Regions from separate parts of the Mus musculus genome. Here all the other regions are reported to be linked to region 3. Evidence: microRNA targets listed by miRTarBase, many of them from high-throughput screens and not tested one by one. Region 3 holds a microRNA gene; each other region holds the end of a gene's coding sequence.
The links. The annotated mature microRNA mmu-miR-378b reads CUGGACUUGGAGUCAGAAGA and lies in region 3 at 2,360-2,379, shown strand. An mRNA with a match to its seed (bases 2 to 7 or 8) in the 3' UTR can be bound and repressed. Matches are read on the target gene's strand: a 7mer-m8 pairs with bases 2 to 8, a 7mer-A1 pairs with bases 2 to 7 and ends in A, and an 8mer does both.

Region 1: miRTarBase lists Bmp2 as a target of mmu-miR-378b. Seed matches in the 3' UTR shown: 8mer at 2,366-2,373.
Region 2: the mRNA of Ncoa7 is a reported target of mmu-miR-378b. Seed matches in the 3' UTR shown: 7mer-m8 at 1,586-1,592.

Annotation. Positions count from the first base shown.
Region 1 is chr2:133,559,879-133,566,505 of GRCm38, forward strand. Bmp2 (bone morphogenetic protein 2) reads left to right here. Exons shown (of 3, transcript NM_007553.3): 3 at 996-3,018. The coding sequence ends at 1,837. It overlaps Mir3090 (microRNA 3090), which reads left to right and starts at 4,830; the gene lies at 4,830-4,916.
Region 2 is chr10:30,642,281-30,648,907 of GRCm38, reverse strand. It overlaps Ncoa7 (nuclear receptor coactivator 7), which reads left to right. Exons shown (of 16, transcript NM_172495.6): 14 at 368-463; 15 at 868-941; 16 at 1,257-3,326. The coding sequence ends at 1,392. Among named protein-coding and RNA genes, the nearest start is that of Hint3, 27 kb to the right of the region's middle.
Region 3 is chr11:88,350,480-88,357,106 of GRCm38, forward strand. Mir378b (microRNA 378b) reads left to right here and starts at 2,294; the gene lies at 2,294-2,385. All of the region lies in intron 11 of Msi2 (musashi RNA-binding protein 2), which reads right to left.

The DNA of each region.
Region 1 (6,627 bases), not on the chromosome of region 3:
GCATCCTTTTAAACCTTGACTCTGTGTGGTCCAGAAACAGCAGCATCCCTTGCTTAAGAGCTTAATGGAGATGCAGGAGTGCAGGCCTCTTCCCAGACCGGCTGATGTGCAGGTCAAAGTCTAAGCACTGCTGGATCAACACAGAAGTTATTCCGAATGAGGATGAGATGGATACGAGAGAACAGGAAGTAGGAAGGGATTTCTTTATCGTGAATTGCTACAGCAGCCTAATGTCACCCCATACCCTTCTGAAGAACTATGTCCCTGTGGATGCCTTTGTCTCTAGAGTTCTGAGCAAAATGGTAGGGTGTGCTTTGCAAAATGTCATCATTGATGTTGAATTTCAAAGTCTTTAATTAAGGGGCTGAAATCTGTATATTGAGATTTGTAAATCATCTAAATTGTAGAGTAATGTTTGCACAGGCTGCTTAAGGGATTGACATTAAAGCTCGTTTTCTTAGTTAAGAAATACAGTCATTTCCTCAACTCCTCAGTCATTAGCTCTCTACTAACTACAGTGCTGACTTTTTTCCCCTTAAAGTCTGTGAATTCCAAAGAAGTGTTTCACTATTTCCTCCATTATTATAGCTACCTAGAAGCTATGTTCATATATTGGATTAAAAACGTAGCAATTACAAAGTTAATGTGGCCATATAGAAAAGGGAAAAGAAACTCCGCTTTCACTTTAATATATATATGTGTGTGTGTATATACATATATATACATGTTGTGTGTGTATATATATATATATATATATATATATATATATATATATATATATATATATATGTTGTGTTAAGCAGTAAACTCAGGGCCATGGACAGAGGGGCAGACATTGTATCTCTAGGCCTGACATTTTTAATTTCTGGTTGCAGGTTTTTATGTAGTTTAACTTAAACCATGCACTGAAGTTTTAAATGCTCGTAAGGAATTAAGTTACCATTGGCTCTCTTACCAAATGCGTTTCTTTTTTCTCTCCACCCTGATCAAACTAGAAGCCGTGGAGGAACTTCCAGAGATGAGTGGGAAAACGGCCCGGCGCTTCTTCTTCAATTTAAGTTCTGTCCCCAGTGACGAGTTTCTCACATCTGCAGAACTCCAGATCTTCCGGGAACAGATACAGGAAGCTTTGGGAAACAGTAGTTTCCAGCACCGAATTAATATTTATGAAATTATAAAGCCTGCAGCAGCCAACTTGAAATTTCCTGTGACCAGACTATTGGACACCAGGTTAGTGAATCAGAACACAAGTCAGTGGGAGAGCTTCGACGTCACCCCAGCTGTGATGCGGTGGACCACACAGGGACACACCAACCATGGGTTTGTGGTGGAAGTGGCCCATTTAGAGGAGAACCCAGGTGTCTCCAAGAGACATGTGAGGATTAGCAGGTCTTTGCACCAAGATGAACACAGCTGGTCACAGATAAGGCCATTGCTAGTGACTTTTGGACATGATGGAAAAGGACATCCGCTCCACAAACGAGAAAAGCGTCAAGCCAAACACAAACAGCGGAAGCGCCTCAAGTCCAGCTGCAAGAGACACCCTTTGTATGTGGACTTCAGTGATGTGGGGTGGAATGACTGGATCGTGGCACCTCCGGGCTATCATGCCTTTTACTGCCATGGGGAGTGTCCTTTTCCCCTTGCTGACCACCTGAACTCCACTAACCATGCCATAGTGCAGACTCTGGTGAACTCTGTGAATTCCAAAATCCCTAAGGCATGCTGTGTCCCCACAGAGCTCAGCGCAATCTCCATGTTGTACCTAGATGAAAATGAAAAGGTTGTGCTAAAAAATTATCAGGACATGGTTGTGGAGGGCTGCGGGTGTCGTTAGCACAGCAAGAATAAATAAATAAATATATATATTTTAGAAACAGAAAAAACCCTACTCCCCCTGCCTCCCCCCCAAAAAAACCAGCTGACACTTTAATATTTCCCAATGAAGACTTTATTTATGGAATGGAATGGAAAAAAACACAGCTATTTTGAAAATATATTTATATCTACGAAAAGAAGTTGGGAAAACAAATATTTTAATCAGAGAATTATTCCTTAAAGATTTAAAATGTATTTAGTTGTACATTTTATATGGGTTCAACTCCAGCACATGAAGTATAATGGTCAGAGTTATTTTGTATTTATTTACTATTATAACCACTTTTTAGGGAAAAAAGATAGTTAATTTGTATTTATATGTAATCAGAAGAAATATCGGGTTTGTATATAATTTTCAAAAAGAATTGTAGTTGTTTTTCAGTTGTGTGTATTTAAGATGCAAAGTCTACATGGAAGGTTGCTGAGCAAAGTGCTTGCACACTTGCTGTCTGTTTCTTGCAGCACTACTGTTAAAGTTCACAAGTTCAAGTCCAAAAAAAAAAAAAAAGGATAATCTACTTTGCTGACTTTCAAGATTATATTCTTCAATTCTCAGGAATGTTGCAGAGTGGTTGTCCAATCCGTGAGAACTTTCATTCTTATTAGGGGGAATATTTGGATAAGAACCAGACATTACTGATCTGATAGAAAAGCTCTCGCCACCCTCCCTGCAGCAAGAACAAAGCAGGACCAGTGGGAATAATTAGGAAAACTGTGACTATGTCAGGAAGTGATGATGGCATCTTGTTCTTTCTTAAGCCTATAATCCCTTCCAGGGGGCTGATCTGGCCAAAGTACTAAATAAAATATAATATTTCTTCTTTATTAACATTGTAGTCATATATGTGTACAATTGATTATCTTGTGGGCCCTCATAAAGAAGCAGAAATTGGCTTGTATTTTGTGTTTACCCTATCAGCAATCTCTCTATTCTCCAAAGCACCCAATTTTCTACATTTGCCTGACACGCAGCAAAATTGAGCATATGTTTCCTGCCTGCACCCTGTTCTCTGACCTGTCAGCTTGCTTTTCTTTCCAGGGATATGTGTTTGAACATATTTCTCCAAATGTTAAACCCATTTCAGATAATAAATATCAAAATTCTGGCATTTCATCCTATAAAACCTAACCCGTGAGAGCAAATGGTTTGTTTGTGTTTGCAGTGTCTACCTGTGTTTGCATTTTCATTTCTTGGGTGAATGATGACAAGGTTGGGGTGGGGACATGACTTAAATGGTTGGAGAATTCTAAGCAAACCCCAGTTGGACCAAAGGACTTACCAATGAGTTAGTAGTTTTCATAAGGGGGCGGGGGGAGTGAGAGAAAGCCAATGCCTAAATCAAAGCAAAGTTTGCAGAACCCAAGGTAAAGTTCCAGAGATGATATATCATACAACAGAGGCCACAGTGCCTAAAAAAATTAAAGAATGTCTGATCAGCGTCTCAGCACATCTACCAATTGGCCAGATGCTCAAACAGAGTGAAGTCAGATGAGGTTCTGGAAAGTGAGTCCTCTATGATGGCAGAGCTTTGGTGCTCAGGTTGGAAGCAAAACCTAGGGAGGGAGGGCTTTGTGGCTGTTTGCAGATTGGGGAATCCAGTGCTAGTTCCTGGCAGGGTTTCAGGTCAGTTTCCGGAGTGTGTGTCCTGTAGCCCTCCGTCATGGTTGAAGCCCAGGTCTCACCTCCTCTCCTGACCCGTGCCTTAGAACTGACTTGGAAAGCGGTGTGCTTACAGCAAGACAGACTGTTATAATTAAATTCTTCCCAAGGACCTCCGTGCAATGACCCCAAGCACACTTACCTTCGGAAACCTTAAGGTTCTGAAGATCTTGTTTTAAATGACTACCCTGGTTAGCTTTTGATGTGTTCCTTATCCCTTTAGTTGTTGCACAGGTAGAAACGATTAGACCCAACTATGGGTAGCCTTGTCCTCCTGGTCCTTCAGTCATTCTCTAATGTCTCTTGCTTGCCATGGGCACTGTAACAAACTGCAATCTTAACATCTTATAAAATGAATGAACCACATATTTACATCTCCAAGTCCTCCAGATGGGAGTGCGATCATTCCATAAGGATCCCACCTTCTGGCAGGTCTATCCAGTACATATTTTCTGCTTCATTGGTCTTGATTTTCTTGGCTAAAATTACTTGTAGCACAGCAGGCCCCATGTGACATATAGGTATATACATACATGTATGTGCATATAGTGTGTACATGTTCTAATTTATACATAGCTATGTGAAGATTATGTTACATATGTAGATGGTCGCACTTCTGATTTCCATTTAGGTTCAGAGAGAGACGTCACAGTAAATGGAGCTATGTCATTGGTATATACCCCGAGTGGTTCAGGTGTTCTCTCTATTTTTTTAAGATGGAGAACACTCATCTGTACTATCGAAAATGAGCCAAATCACTTAGCAAATTTCTAGTCACTTGCCTTGCTGTTAAGATACTGATTCACTGGGTGCTGACATGCTGAGCCCCTCCCTACTTTTTGATTGAAAGGACAAAGGAAGAGAGCTTTGCAGTAAAGAATGGTTATATTGTGGGGGCGAGGGGGGCGGCGTTATAGATCGGCATATATGTGAGGAGGTCACAACAGCCTGCACTATTCCTTTTCTGTTTTATGTCTTGCAGGGGAAGGGACAGGTAGGGTGGGGTTGAGGGGGCAGGGCACACACATCTACTTGGATAAATTGCATCTCCTCTTTCCTTCACCCCGCCACCATATCTTAAAGCCTTATGACATCCTCTAGGGCAGAATTTTCTCACCAGCTCCCCGCCCTACCAACTTCAAAGTGAACTTCTAACTAACTTGAGGGGCCAAAGTTCTAAATAAAACTTGTTAGAGTTTAGCGGGCACCTCAGTCATCAGGAATGCCTCCAGGAAAGCAAAAAAGCTTGATGTGTGTACAGCCCACGTGGTGGAGTCCTGCCACCCTATGATTCCTGTCCCAGTGGTCTGGGTGGGGCCTGAGATCCTGAATTTCTAATGAGCTCCCAGGTGACACCCTGACTCACTGTGCCAGAGGACTGCAGTTTGAGTAGCAAGGTTGTGTGGACTGTTCTTTCGATCATGGCTACAGAAGCTGGCTCAAGTACAGCCCCTTCGTGTGTAAAAGCCATGTGTAAATGAGAAGAAACAGAAGGCAAAGCTGCGTTGCATGGCATCTGAATCAGTGCCCTGCAGTTTTGTTTTTTGTTTTTTTTTTTTCAAAGACATTCTTTTTCCCAACAAGATGAGTGGCAATCTTATGTTCTAGCCACTCTTAGACATGAAAACACTGGGTTGCTTATCTTGTAAAATCTGCTCTGCTTGCTTGCTTGGGCACGCTGCAGTCAGTTTAGTCAAATGCGTGTCAGTACATCTATATGTATGAGGGAGCAGGTGCAAGTCCTTAGAAATGTACTTTAAAAAACTTGAACACTTAAGTCAGTGTGCTGAGCTGCTCCTGTGTGATGTTAGTGCCAAGCACCTGAGTTAAAGGGATCTCTTTGAAGGCAGAGGGTAGATGTCGTATGGTTGAAGCATTTGTTTATACTAAAATGATGCTTGACTTTTTTCTAAGTTATAAGACAGTACACTGTATAAGTTCATTGAACCTAGAGGGTGGCATAGGACTCCAAATCTGGTATGGGAGGTTTGTTCTAATGGAAGTTCGAATCTTTTTTGCAGTTGGCTTGGAATAAAGTGCTTATGTGAATGGGCTTAAGCTAGGGAAAAAAATGGGTTTCCCTCTGCAAAGAGGGTCAGCACAGAAATAACTTCCTGGCTTTGCTTGGCATGAATGCCACTTGTTAGCAGAATGCCCTGTGGGGATCAAGGGTAGCTTGGGCAGCACCTTACTCGGCTCTCAGAAACTCTTAGAAGCAACACAGACTTTAATATTTGTTGAAGAAATGTCAGGATGAATATATTCTTAATCTCAACCAATCTTGTTGTGTAAGACACACACACACACACACATGCACACACACACACACACACACACACGCACACACACGCACACGCACACACACACACACATGCACACACACACACACGCACACACACACACACACACACACATCCCTGTGGGTGAACAGACATGTGCACATACACACATACAAGCACACATATTTGCATACACACGTACATGCTAACAAGCACACATGTTCACATGCACGCATGCACACACATGCATGCACATCTCTGAAGGAATTTTCGTTTGCTCATGTCTAGAGTCTGAATGCTGAGGCAAGAGCATCAACCGTCCCCCACCCCACCCCCTTGGCCAATCCCTATGGATTTATCATTTTGTTTAGGTCTCTAAACTCTGAATGGAGACCCTCTGAGGTGCTACACCATACGCTGACTTTAACAGCACTTAAAAGCTTGTGTTTGCCTGTGTGCTGGGCCCCTCGCCAAGGCATTGCTGGGAGTCCATTACTGTTGCAGTCCATTCTGATGAGGAGGTCTCTCAGCAAAGCCCCGATCTGCTCACAGCTCTCCTCATAAGGAGCAGGAACTCATCTGGACCGAATTTACCCTAGAACCGCTTGGCCACAACACTATGAGAGAATAATTATTGAACTATTTTACTGTACAACTATTTCCAAATTGTTGATTTTTTATTGATTTCAGGAGGCAAGCTAATTGCCCCATGGCAACTTGATGTTAACATTTAATGAAGATCAGGAAGCAGAGTTTATGAAAAGCGTTTGTATAGCGACTGCAAAGCTTCAAGAACTGTTTTACACTTCC
Region 2 (6,627 bases), not on the chromosome of region 3:
CCTGTCAAGCACTCATTTCTGTGTGTAACACACATTTTTTAAAAATGCCATTCTCCATATTCTACTTCAGCAGCCTTTTAACCACTGAATTGTTGGCCACTTTAACAAATAATGCCTCCAAGCTTCTCTGATGGATTTTCCATGTACCAGGAAGCCTGGCCACATGGGTTCCAGTTAGAGCTGGGGGTATTGTAGTAATTGCTTTGTTTGATGGGTTTTTTTTCCACTTAAAGAGTTCTAATTTAATAATAAACTTTGCTGAAAGAGTTATAAGATCCAAGAACAATAGTGTGTCAAAAATGTTTTAGAAGGTCTCTATGGGAGTTTAATTTTGAAAGTAACTATGTCTTCTGTTTTCTTTTAATAGATATTTGGGGCATATGCAACTCATCCCTTCAAGTTCAGTGACCACTATTATGGCACAGGCGAAACGTTTCTCTACACCTTTAGTCCGAATTTCAAGGTACCTGGAAGGGTGGAATACTTGAATGGCTAGGGTTGTGTTGTCAGCAGTCAGGAGGTTCCGGGGTGTTCAGACACTGAGATAGTGGGTGTCCTGCAATCCTGCCTGCATCCTTTGCACGCAGTCTCGGTCTCCATGACTGAAGCATACAGACAGCTTAGAAACCCAGCACAAGGAGTTTCTCAGTCTGCGATGCAGGGAGAGATTGAAGGTCAGAGCCAGCACATTATCGAATGGTCTTTACTATTTCATAACGATTGGTGATCATGTTGTAGCCATTCTGTCAAATGCTTTGTTACTCAAAGGTGTGTTTCCTTTATACACAACATGACTATTCAAGGTATCTTCTCTGCTAATTCTCCGAATTGAAATGTTGGTGCTCTCTTTTGTGGTTTTGCCCTTAGGTCTTTAAGTGGAGTGGAGAAAACTCATATTTTATCAATGGAGACATAAGTTCTTTAGAACTTGGTGGTGGAGGGTAAGGCTCTTGTAATTTTATTACTTGGGGATCACTTAGGCCCAGCTATTCAATTTGCTTAGATTAATTAGGGCAGTGTACTAACACATGCCACTGAGAACCAAAGATAAATGATGTATTAATGTGCCTGAGAGACTGCAACCATTTGTCCTTTAAGAGAGACCTGTTTACACAGCTTGCTCTTAGTTTGTAAGGAGTTTAGAGTTCTGTCTATTTTGTCCCAAATGAAAGGAAGCCTCTCGGAAAAAGGCAGAAAGCATGTCATTTTGTAAGCCTTGACCGTGTAGTGACCTTTCTCCTTTAACCTTGTTACAGGGGACGATTTGGTCTGTGGCTAGATGCTGATTTATATCATGGACGCAGCAACTCTTGCAGTACTTTTAATAATGATATCCTTTCAAAAAAAGAAGACTTCATAGTTCAGGACCTAGAGGTATGGACATTTGAGTGAAACTCAGGCTGCCTTAAAATAAAACATGGAAAAGACTGGGTTAGATTAGCCGTCTTACTGGAAGACGAGCCCCAGCCCTGGCTGCCTCATCCTACAGCAATGCTTTCTTCCTGCGGTTGTCTCAGAGCATCATAGCAATGCAGACAGATTCTGGAAGGTACTGTGGAGGGCAGACACTGAAGACAGAAATCTCAAGTCCAGGTTGTTTTAAAAAAACAAAACAAAAAGACTTTGTACCTCCACTGCTTTCAAATTCACACCATGAGAAATCAGAGTGTTTTTTGATGTATGAGTTGAATGCAATTTTTATTTTTGGTAACTGTGAAAAAATATGATACTGTGGAAATACATACCTTCCTTGTGTATTTATCAGCATAATTTTACCAAATATATACTTTTTGTTTGCCATAGAAAGCTAAATCTGATTTAGAGAAATTGAAAGGATATAGCACTTAAAGGGAATATCTGATTTTTTAAAAACTTTTATTTATTATTTTTAGTATATTGTCTGAAATATATTGATTTTTTTCTTTTAATGTGTCAAATCCTGAAATAAAGAAATGTATATGTTTTGTGCTATTGGGAAACAAGGCTCTTTTGATTTGTATAGTTTTTTATTCATTTTTTGCCCTGATTATTTAGGGTAATATAATCTTTATTTATTAAGAGAGTGAGAGAGAGGGAGAGAGAGAGAGAGAGAGAGTCAAAAAGACAGAGACAGAGTTTTCAAAAGCTCATTACCAATGTTTTTTGATCTATTATAGACCAACTTTTTATTTAGTTTTTAAGGTAATCTTTGAAAACCCTAAGCATTTGTGTGAAGCAGAATATAGCTTCTCTCACAGTTGTAAGATGGTGTTTATTGAAATACAGATCTTTATGAACATGAATGTACAAGTCCTACTTCTACAGAGTGTTTGTTTCTTATGAAATTGTGTGAATTGTATATTAATAACAGTAACTAAGTTTCTTAGTTTTTTTTCTTTTTTTCATTCCTTTTCTTTTTTTTCTTTTACGTTGTTTCTTTCCAGGTGTTTACATTAATGGTAGCCATCTGTTTTAAAAGAGAGTATATAATTTGTGCATTTTTAATGTTGGATAAAAGATGCCAAGTTGGACCAACTTTCTTGGTTTCTTGAATCTTACTGGAGAAAAAACAATTCAAAGAATTACATTCATATCACAATTGAAAGAAAAAAGAAAATCTATATTTTTTTAAATATAAACTCATTTTCACATCAGTAGACATCTTTTATTTTAAATAGTAGGATATAAAATCATTAATGTTAATGATTGCCTCCCTCTTATGAAAGCCAAAGACTACTAATGGAAAAAATTTAAATAATAGCCAAAGCTGAAAAGTAGTCTATCGCGAATTATTTCCCCAGAGATTTTTGAACAGAAAATGAGCAAACCGTGTTTACATGTCTGTTTATGTTTGTCATATTTTCAAGTCTTTCTTCCATTTTAGCCTCCTTGTAAGAAAACACTGTCCAGTGGTCTCCATCAGGCCGATCACTATATTCACTGCCATCCCATGCTAGTTTAAAGGAATGCTATGAAAATTTAAATCTGTAGACCATATATACTTTTCACCCAAGTTCTCCCATTGAGGACTCTTGCTTAAAAATATACAATTTGACTTTGGTCTGCTCACACACATGAGTTGGCGAGATCCCAGGAATGTCGTGTGGTGATGATGTTCACTGTTTGTAACCATGCTGTTAATGAACAAGATGGTCATTTTGCCTCTAGATTACTCTTGCCTAGTTTAGTCCATGATGCTATACTCGTGAGAGCATATCCAGATGCTGTGTTCTCTATTTAAAACAGTATTGTCTGAACAGGAATGTGTGGCCCTTTATTATGGATTTCAACTACATGTAATGATATTCCAATATTTTCAATAAAGGAATTTATGCATTCAGTGTGAATTTCTTTCCTAAAGACTCATTCATTGGCCATTTATATAGTACAGCCTGACTTCAGAGACATGACATGATCCATTCCAGGGCAGAACAACAGAACAATCATACGGTTTTCCCCAGTTCTGTAAGAATTATGATTAGACTATAGTGCTCATAGTTTATTGAGCATGCACTGGCATTATGATTAAAACAGTGTACTACTTTAATTAAAAATACTTCATTTTGCAGCTGTAGAGATGACTCTCTGGCTACCAGAGCTACTGTGCTTGCTGACAATGTGCACCATTTCTTAGCAGGCATGTTGGGCAGTTCATAACTGCCTGTAACTCCAGTTCCAGAGAAATTGTCTTCCTGCACAGGCAGCTGTACATATGCACATACACTTACAGCCTCAGCCTCACACACATGCACTTAAAAAATAATAAAAATAATTTTCAAAATACACTCCATTGTTAGGATTCTCAATGATTATCTGAACTATTTGAAAGTGGTGCCTATAGACCTGTTTGGCACAGGTTTGCCATGAATCTTCTATTGGTAAAGATTTACAGTGTCTCCAAGGTACAATGCATTGAAGTATGACAAGGCATTCGTGTCTGGGGGTTTGTAGTGAGAAGAGGTGGAGGAAATAACCAATAATAAACTGGATTTGGTAAGATACTTAACAGAAAACTACCACTTCATTTCCTGTAGCTTTCCCCCAGTTCTCTCAACAGTTCATGAAAACTACTACTTTTATATAGTTACTGGAGACTACCCTTGGCTTTATAATAATAAATTTAGTAATATTAATAATCTAATGTCTCATATGTAGACAGCCCTCATTTTTATACCTGTTCTACCCTACATACATTTCCATCAAGGATATTTTGCACACTAATAACCTTCTGCCATGTAGTCCCCACTGAAGAAAGTCCAGGGAGTCTTTATTTTCTCAAAATTTCTCCTTTCATAGGTATAGATGCAAAATCTTAGGTGAGGGCTGGGTATGGTGGCACACATTTTAAGTCCCAGAGTACAGGAGGCAGAAGTGGGCCTGTACTCACTATGTAGACTAGAATAGTCTACATTGAAAGTTTCACACTAGCAAAAGCTATATAGTGAGACCCTCTCTTAAGCTGTCTTAGGGTTTTATTGCTATGAAGAAACCCTTGACCATGACAACTTTTTGAAAAACATTTAATTGGGGCTGGCTTACAATTCAGGGTTCATGCATGGTGGGAAGCATGGTGGAGTACAGGCAGATATGGTGTTGGAGAGTAGCTGAGAGTTCTACATCTTCTCAACTAGTAGGAAGGAAGAGTGAGCCACTTCTGAAACCTTAAAGTCAACCTATGACACACTTCTTCCAACAAGACCACTCCAATAAGGCCACACCTCCAAATAGTGCCACTCCATATGGGTCCATGAGGGCCATTTTATTCAAACCATTACATACACAAGCAAACAATAGCAACAATAACAAAATTGGTTGGAAGAAAGCCAAGGGTACTTAGAGAAAATTTAAAATAAGGTAAGCACACACACCTTTTGTGTGACTCAAAAGTGCCTATGACCATCTCCTGCCAATCAGATCTCTTTTTCTCATTGGGGAGCTCTTACCCTCAGGGTAACTCATCATCTTGCCCCCTTGTTTGTGTCCTTGAGACATGATTATCTCCCAATAGATAGTTTCTTTACCAAGAAAATTAACCTTCACAATCCATACCGTACTCTAAGGTCATATTCTCTTACCTTTCATTCTAAGCTGTCTAGTGACAGAGAATAAAGCAGATGGTCCTCCCTGCTTTCGCCAATGGAGACATCAAAGTAGTGCTTGTTGATGGGCTCTTCCATGCTTTTTATCAGCAGTGTCCAATGGAGCATCCTACAATGCTGGACTTGTACCACAATTTTCACTACTATATTTATTTACTCATTTGTTTATATTCGTACATAATGATGGGTTCCCTTATGACGTTTTACAAATACAAGTCAGATACTTTGCTCACATGCACCTTCCACTGGATGGAAAGAACTCTTTCTCCCCATGGTTTCCTTCCACTTCCTAAATACCTCTCCTCCTAACTTCATGTCATGTAGTGTGTGTGTGTCTAGATTACACATATGACAAAAAAAACAAAACAAAAAAAACATGGCAGTATTTTTCTTGCTTATTTTGCTACACACCACAATTTTATCTTTTCCTGAAAGAGGAATAGTTCATCTTTATGACTGAATAGAGTGGTACGTTCATCAGAGTAGAAAAGATGATGAACAGAGAATGTAAGAGCAGTATGAAGAGTGCTCACAAAATGGCATCTATCATGACTGCCCACCCAAAGACCCAACAAGCTGCTGAAAAAGTCAGATGCAGATATTTGCACCCAACCAACGGACAGAAGCAGCTGACCCCTGTTGTTGAATTAGGGAAGGCTGAAAGAAACTGAGAAGGATGATCCTATAGAAGGACCAGCAGTCTTAATTAATCTGGACCCCGAGATCTTTCAAACACTGGACCACCAAACAGACAGTATACACCAGCTGTTATGAGTCCCCCAGCACACATACAGTAGAGGACTCCCAGGTCTATGTTCATTCAGAGATGATTCACCTAACTCTCAAGAGACTGGAGACCCCAGGGAGTTTAGAGGTCAGATGGGGTGGAGGGTGGGGGCATCCATGTGGAGATGGGGTATAGTGGGGAGGAGGTGTGGGATGTGAGGCAGCTAGAGGGCAGGAGGGGGGAAAGGGAATGGAATATGGAGTGTAAAAAATGAATTACAAATAAAATTAAATTAAAAAAAGAACAGTATGAAGAATCAATATAGCAAAGGAGTTGATTCTTTGAAAAGATAAACAGGATTGACAGACCCTTAGTCAACCTTAACTGAAAGAGAAAGAGAAAAACCATGTTAATAAAGATAAAAAGAAGGATGTCACAACAGTTACTAGCAGTTTGAATAGGTTTGGCCACCATGGTTTCAAGTGTTTGAATGCTTGGCCAACAGGGAGTGATATTAGGAGGCATGTCCTTGTTGGAATAGGTGTAGCCTTGTTGGAGGAAGTGTGTCACTGTGGGGCTGGGCTTTGATGGTCTTCTCTTAACTGCCTTCCCATCAAGATGTTGAACTCTCAGCTCCTCCTGCCCCATGTCTGCCTGGATGCTGCCATGCTGGTGGCTCACAACCATCCGTGGCGAAATCTGATGCCCTTTTCTGGAGCATCTGAGGACAGCTACAGTGTACTTACATATAATAAATAAATAAATCTTTAAAAAAAATAAATAAATATTAGGTGAAAATTCCATCTTCACAACATTGGAAAC
Region 3 (6,627 bases):
AGAGGGGTTGGAGTGATAGCTCAGTGGTCAGGAGCACTGGCTGCTCTTCCAGAGGACCTGGGTTCAATCCCCAGCACCAATATGGCAGCTCACAACTCCAGTTCCAGGGAATCTGACACCCTCACACCAAAGCATATAAAATAAAATTAAATATTTAAAACAAAACAAAATAAAAACCCCAGACATAACGCCCCCTCCCAAAACCCCAAAACTCCAAGCAATTTCCATTATAAAAGTAAGCTCTTAATTGATTCTGAAATTCCCAGCAGCTGCTGGACCTTAGCTAACACGTTTTGAAGAAACTGAGTGATGGAATATCACTTGTCTTCAGCTTTAGAAGGCTCACTCCTCCCTCCTGGCTCCTGTGGCATCACTCCTCTGCCCTGTAACAGCTGCCAAGAAGAGCATCTGAAGTGTACGGTGGAGTTCCTCTTGCCTGGGGCCCTGTCGCTAGAGGCCCTTGCTTCTCTTGTGGCTTTGAAGAACATGTAAGTGGATTTTTTTTTCACGCACTTGTCATAGGAGCGAGAAGAGATTAATGATACTGCACTTGAGAAGGGGACACAAGATCCAAAGTGGACCAAACCACGCTGGGCCTGGCTCCTGCCTCAGCAGAGGAAAAGGGACTGTTGCCTCTGGATGCCCTTGGGCAGGATGCGCCCCTCTGAAGCATTTGGCCAGAAATTAATAAACAAGACGATCAAGAGAGTGGGTTGGGGAAACGGGGGAAGGTGTGTTGGGGGGGGGGTATTCAAAGCAAGTGAATAGCTTATTTGGAAATGTACTGGCAGCAGAATTTTTTGAACCAAGAACATTAAAATTGCAGATGACATTTGCCCCTTCTTCTCTCATGGAGGCAAATATCCAGCAGAGATATCCAAAAGGTAGCACTGTGTTGGTGGACCACATCTTTTTCTTGGGGACTCAGGAAACACAACGAGCTAGACAGTGGACTCCTGGTTTACCCAGGTACCAGCCCCTCTCTCTACAGAAGAAGGAGCTAGCTCTGACTGTGGGTAAGAGGATCGGGTGGGGTTGGGAAAATATAGTAGTGGAAAATGGACAGAGATTTTTTTTCAGCTTCTTTCCCTCTAAGATAGGAAGATACTAGATAGGCAATGAAGAGAAGGCAAGAGAGCCTCACCCCTGGAGACAAATCCAGCTAGAGAAAGACAAAGAGGCAGCAGGCTGACAGAAGAATGCTGTTCAGAGAGCCCTCTGTGGAAGGCTTAGAAGGCAGGCGGGCTGCTGGGATTCACCCTACCCGTGGCAACATTCTTGGCTCCATGTGCACCTGGAAGCCTGGCACTTGTAGTGTGGAGGGAATTCTACAAGAAGCTCATTTTAGGCCTACAGTATCCCTCCCTGCTCAGTCATATTACATCCAATGAGAGTGGCAGCAATCTGGAGAGAGGCACTGTGCTAGAATATGGCTTACTGCCATCCCCAGTTCCACTGGAGTATGTGCTTGCTCAGCCACAGTCCATTCCAGCTCAAGGTTATGCAGCAAGCATCCCCCAGTGAAGGATGGAAGACTTGGCTGCTGAGTCCTCACCAGATGGTACAGTGGACAGGCAATAAACACCTAGACAATGGAGCCTATGCCCATATGGGTTTGGCCACAGAGGAGAAATGTTCCTTCAAGCTCTGTAGTCAACACTTGTGTCTCTTGTGGCAGAAGAGCCACGCCCCAGATAGTGTGATAAGGTCTCCAGGCAAGCAACCTATATGTATTTAGGGACCTTGTTCAGGAAGGGATAAGGACAGACACTTGGTAGCTGCTACTGCCTGCCGATATCAGGAAGGCAGCTAGGACAATGGAATGTCCTTCATTCTGGAAATCAGCACAATTCCTCACACTGTACTGGCTGGCTACTTGATAACATGGTCTCTTCCTGTGAGCTGTGAGAGGCAAAGAAGCTGGTGAGAGGCCAAGTTCCCATGAAAGTTCTTTCTGTGAAATGCAGGTTTCCCTTTCCCAGGCACCAAAAATCATCTGGAGGGGTCAGGTGTGGTCTCCCAAACCCAAGAAAGGATATGGCATCACTGTTCATGGGTAAGGAAGGGCATCGTGACTATTGTGTGGCTAGTCCAGCTCTATCTGTGTGTGTGTGTGTGTGTGTGTTATCTAGAAATATCATGGCATATCAGCAGAAGCTGAGACTGTGTTACATGGCTTGGGACAAGGCTGGCAGTTTGGGGGTCCACTGTGGTAAACAGGCTCACTTCTGAGTAATGTCCATAGCCCTGGCTTAATTCTAGGGTGGTTCCTCCTTCTGCTCCTGATTCCCAGTGTCCTGGGCTATCCCAGTCCAGGCAGTACCCTCAGGAGGCAGGTACGATGGATAGAGAGGGAACCCTGGACTTGGAGTCAGAAGACCTGAGGTTGACTCTGGCCCTGCCCTGACACCTGTGTGTCCTGGTCCAGCTTGTGTCCTTATCTGTGACACATGAGTAATGTGCCCCTTATTCAATCTGAGTCACTAGCATGTTATGAGGATGAAAAGGAGAAAAAGCCCTGTGACTTATCAGGTATATGCAGAGCCCACACAGGTCCTGTATGCACATTTAGCAAAATCCAATAGAGGAAAATGCAATCCACTTGCCATACAGACCTGAAGGTGATTACAAAAGGGTTCAATCCATCCGTCTGGTGCATTTAATCACCCTGGACCCGGAAAAAAAGGACTCAGGGGGGTGGGGTGGGGCGAGCAACATGAAAGGCAGGGACATTTGCTATACCTCAGAAGGCCAGCAAAGCAAGAGGAATGTATTCGAATGAGAGTTGAAGGTATTTTACATTAAATGAAAAGCTTCCTGCTGCCCAAGAAAACACCTGGATGGCTGACCTAATGAAGCCTTCCTATCTCATCTCAGAGAAGGGAACAGAAATTGGACCAACGGCCTGTATTGGGAATGAAGACCCTTACCTGGGGGTGCTCAGTTAAAGCCTTCCAGGCAGCAGCCTTCCCCACTTTCTAAAGTGGGCTGGGGTGGGTGTGTGTGAAGAGTGAAATTAATCTCTGGGGGTTAGGAAAATGATGTAAATCGCAATAGCCTTACTGTAGGTCCAGGAAAAGACGTGGAGTCCAGGTATTTCTATTGTCTAACACTGGGTAGAATTTGAAGGGAGCAGCAGAGCAGGGGACCCCCTCATAGCCACAGCACCCAGGATATGTTGCATTAAAGCCACTCGATGTCTGAACGTGTAGCCTCTGTCTCCTTGTCCAGCCCTTTAGGGTCTAGGACCAAAATACCAAAATTAAATAAGGAACCCAAGGGCTGAAAGCAGGCCAACTCCAGTTTGATGTTGAAAGTCCCTTGGCCTGTTTTCACCTGTTCTTAAGGCACGTCGTCGTCTACCTAACTTACTAGGGAAGCAAGCAGTATGGTTTTCCCGTGTGTCTCCAGTCATCTCCACTTATTGCTATGCTGCTCATCGTGAAGGTCTCACCCCTGCCTGTCCCAGCCATAGATCCCTTGTGTCTCATACGTTACTTCTTATATGACCAATGCATATTTCTCTGTACTACACACATGCTACAGTACTATGAAATCCAAGGCTAGGACTATATAGACTTAGAAGATGGTCTAGCACTGTATTCCAGCAGCAGTGACGAAGATGGTCTAGCACTGTATTCCAGCAGCAGTGACGAAAGCTACCTAAGAGTCAGTGGTCAGCACATCCCTGGTAGGAATGGCTAGGGAGGAGATGTACTACTATCACACATGGCTGGGCCAAGATAGGTGAGAGCTAACGGGATAAGAGAGGGCCAGGCTAGGAGGGCCACTCACTCAACAGCTTTTAAGATGGGTTTCATTACGCTGTGTAATAGATAAGCAAACTCAGGGTCTTAGGACTGTCTCCAGTTCTAACTTGAAAGTACAATGTGACATCAGTCGTGACACGACTCAGTTGTCCCTCCTTGAATCACAGTTTGATGTTGCAGACACCTCTGTTACTAGCCAGGGATCTCCTTGGGGTTGGGTGGTGCCTATGAAGACATAGGGGACTTCATCTCTGCTGATGACTGGGGTAACCTTCCACTGTGGCATAAAACAAAGAACTTTGTGGCAAAGAACAGAAATGTAGTCAGTGTTGGGAGTCAGTAAGTGGGTGGGCCACTGGCCAAGCCCTTACTGAGACTGTCACTTCTATCAAGGCCCAGACACAGTGGGGGGCCCCAGAGAACTAACCCAGCCCTCAAAGTCCATCTCACTCTGCTGGGTCCTGTGGGGAGCTGGGACACCTCATGGCCGATTGGCACTTGCTGCCCAATCACTTCTAACAGCATCTTGGCACCCGGGGACCCAGCATCTGGGTGTGGCTGGTGGCTGGTGGGTGAGGAGGGTGTTGAGGGCATAGTCCCTCAAGGATCTGTACAGAAGGCTTTCCACTTGAGTAGTCCGTCTTTAATGATTGTAAAGACGCAGGAGTTTAATCCATTTTTGATGTAAGCACTAATAGCTCTGTGTCCTTGAAGTTCAAAGCGGGCGCATACATGTCACTAATTAACCAAGCGCGGAGCCATTCAGCTCCCTCTCATGTTCCTAATTAGGTCTTTAATAACAAACAAACTCCGACCTTAGCAAGAGGCTTCCATTTGTCAGCCAGTCTAGGCGTATGGCTGCTTCCCTGTTTACAGTTGTCTAAACTTTTTGCTCCTCATCTCAGCCTGGACTCAAGGGAGATGGGAGAGTCACACCACAGAGACAAGGACCCCTTAAGGTCGTCCTTGAAGGTGGTCTTGTTGGCCCTGGTAGGCAGAAGAGCCCTAAGCCCATAGGGACTCTAAACCTAGGCTGGTGACTTCCCCTGCTTCCCTTTGGAGGATGCTGGGTGCCTGCCATGGTCAGGGATGGTATAAAGTTGCACAACTAACCAGGACGTGAGGCTATGGCTATACACTGACTTTGCCCAGGCTCTGATTTGATGGGTTTGAAATATGGCCTGGCAGTGAGGGAAGTTGAAAAAACACCCGGGAGATTCCAGCACGCAGCATAGTTGTAACAAACTGTAAGGCTGGCTCACTTGCTCACTAGCAGCGATGAGCAGGTCTTCTGTTATTGAATTTGTGTGTCCTGTATGTGTGTGTTTGTGTGGGGGGTGTACATGTCAAGTGTCTTTATTGCTCTCCACCTTATTTGTGACAGGGTCTCTCGATGAACTTGGAACTCATCCATTTGGTTAAGCAGGCTGACCAATCAGCTCCAGGGATCCACCTGTCTCCACCTCCTAAGTGCTGGGATTACGGATGCAGCTGAGCATTGCTGTTATGTGAGCACCGGGAATCAGAACTCAAGTCCACCTGCTTGCAACAGCACGCCCTTTACCAACTGAGCCGTCTCCCCTAGCCCCAGGTCTTCTGCTATTGATGAGTCCTGTTCACAAAGACAGAACCACAGAAGCCTGAAAGGTCCCACCAAGCACACTTAAGGCTGGAAATCTGATATACTGAAAATGTGATTCTTACTGTAAACAGAGCCCTGCCACACCGCCATGCACCCTGCACTTGATGGCTGACTGTTTTCAAGGGCACACCCCACACCTCCACGGGATTTCCTGCCACTGGGATGCTCTTGGCTTTCTCCGCACGATGTCCTTAAGCCACTGTCATTTCCACTGCTTATGTCTCCTAGGACGAAGGATCAGGAGCTTTGGACGGCGCAGCAATACAGAGCTGCCGGGCTGATGGGACCTACTGGGGACTGTAAGTCTGAAATCCTCATTTAGTAGAGGTGGATGCCGGCCAGGAACCATGCCCCGCCCATCCTCCCTCGGGTTTATCTTCTAAGCTATTTCTCACTCTCAAGGCCATCTCCTCCTCTAGGAGGTGGGAGCACCTCTTGGTGGTTTCAATATCCTCTTAGCTATTTGAACCTTGAAGGTCAAGACCTAAGGGATGGAGGTCATGAACTCGACGAGACCCCTAGCCTGTCATGGTGAAGACCCCTAGCCTGTCATGGTGAGTTTATTCCCCAAGACAGGCAAACAGAAAAAGAGGCTGGCAGAGGAAGACCCTGAAATCTCAGTGGAAGGTTTAAAGGGTGTTTTTCTGGATTAAAGAAGACAATGTGAGGTCAAAGAGAGCATAAAGAGACAAGGAGTTTCTTCCATGTCATGTGGTTTCTGCTGTGTTTCTGGTCTGTTCTCTGGTGGGGGAGGGGTGGATTAGTTTTCTGCCTGACTCTCCAGGGTACCCACCGTTCTGTGTGTATCTATCTGTAAGGCTGAACTTTCCAAGACCCAGGAAGCCCACCCTCTCCAAGACATAGCCAGAAATAGCTTCCAGAAAGAGAGGGAAGCTGGCAGCGAAGCAGGGCTGGCCTGCTTTCTTCACACACCGGTCTCTACCTCAGACACCCGGGCGCAAGTGTGGGATTCACTATTTGCCATGGACCTGGACAGACCACTTTATTAATATTAATAAGTAGCCTGGAACAAAGGGCCCATTTATTTTTAGCCTTCTTTAATTGTGTAGTAATTACTCATCTACAAAACAAATGAGCCCCTGTTTGCAGTTGCTATGGTACCTGGTGCCCAAGCCTCCCTGAAAGAAGATTGGGTAAGGAGCCGGCTGCGCCTGTGGCCACACCCCCTTCTCCACCATTGGCCCACAGCCCAGC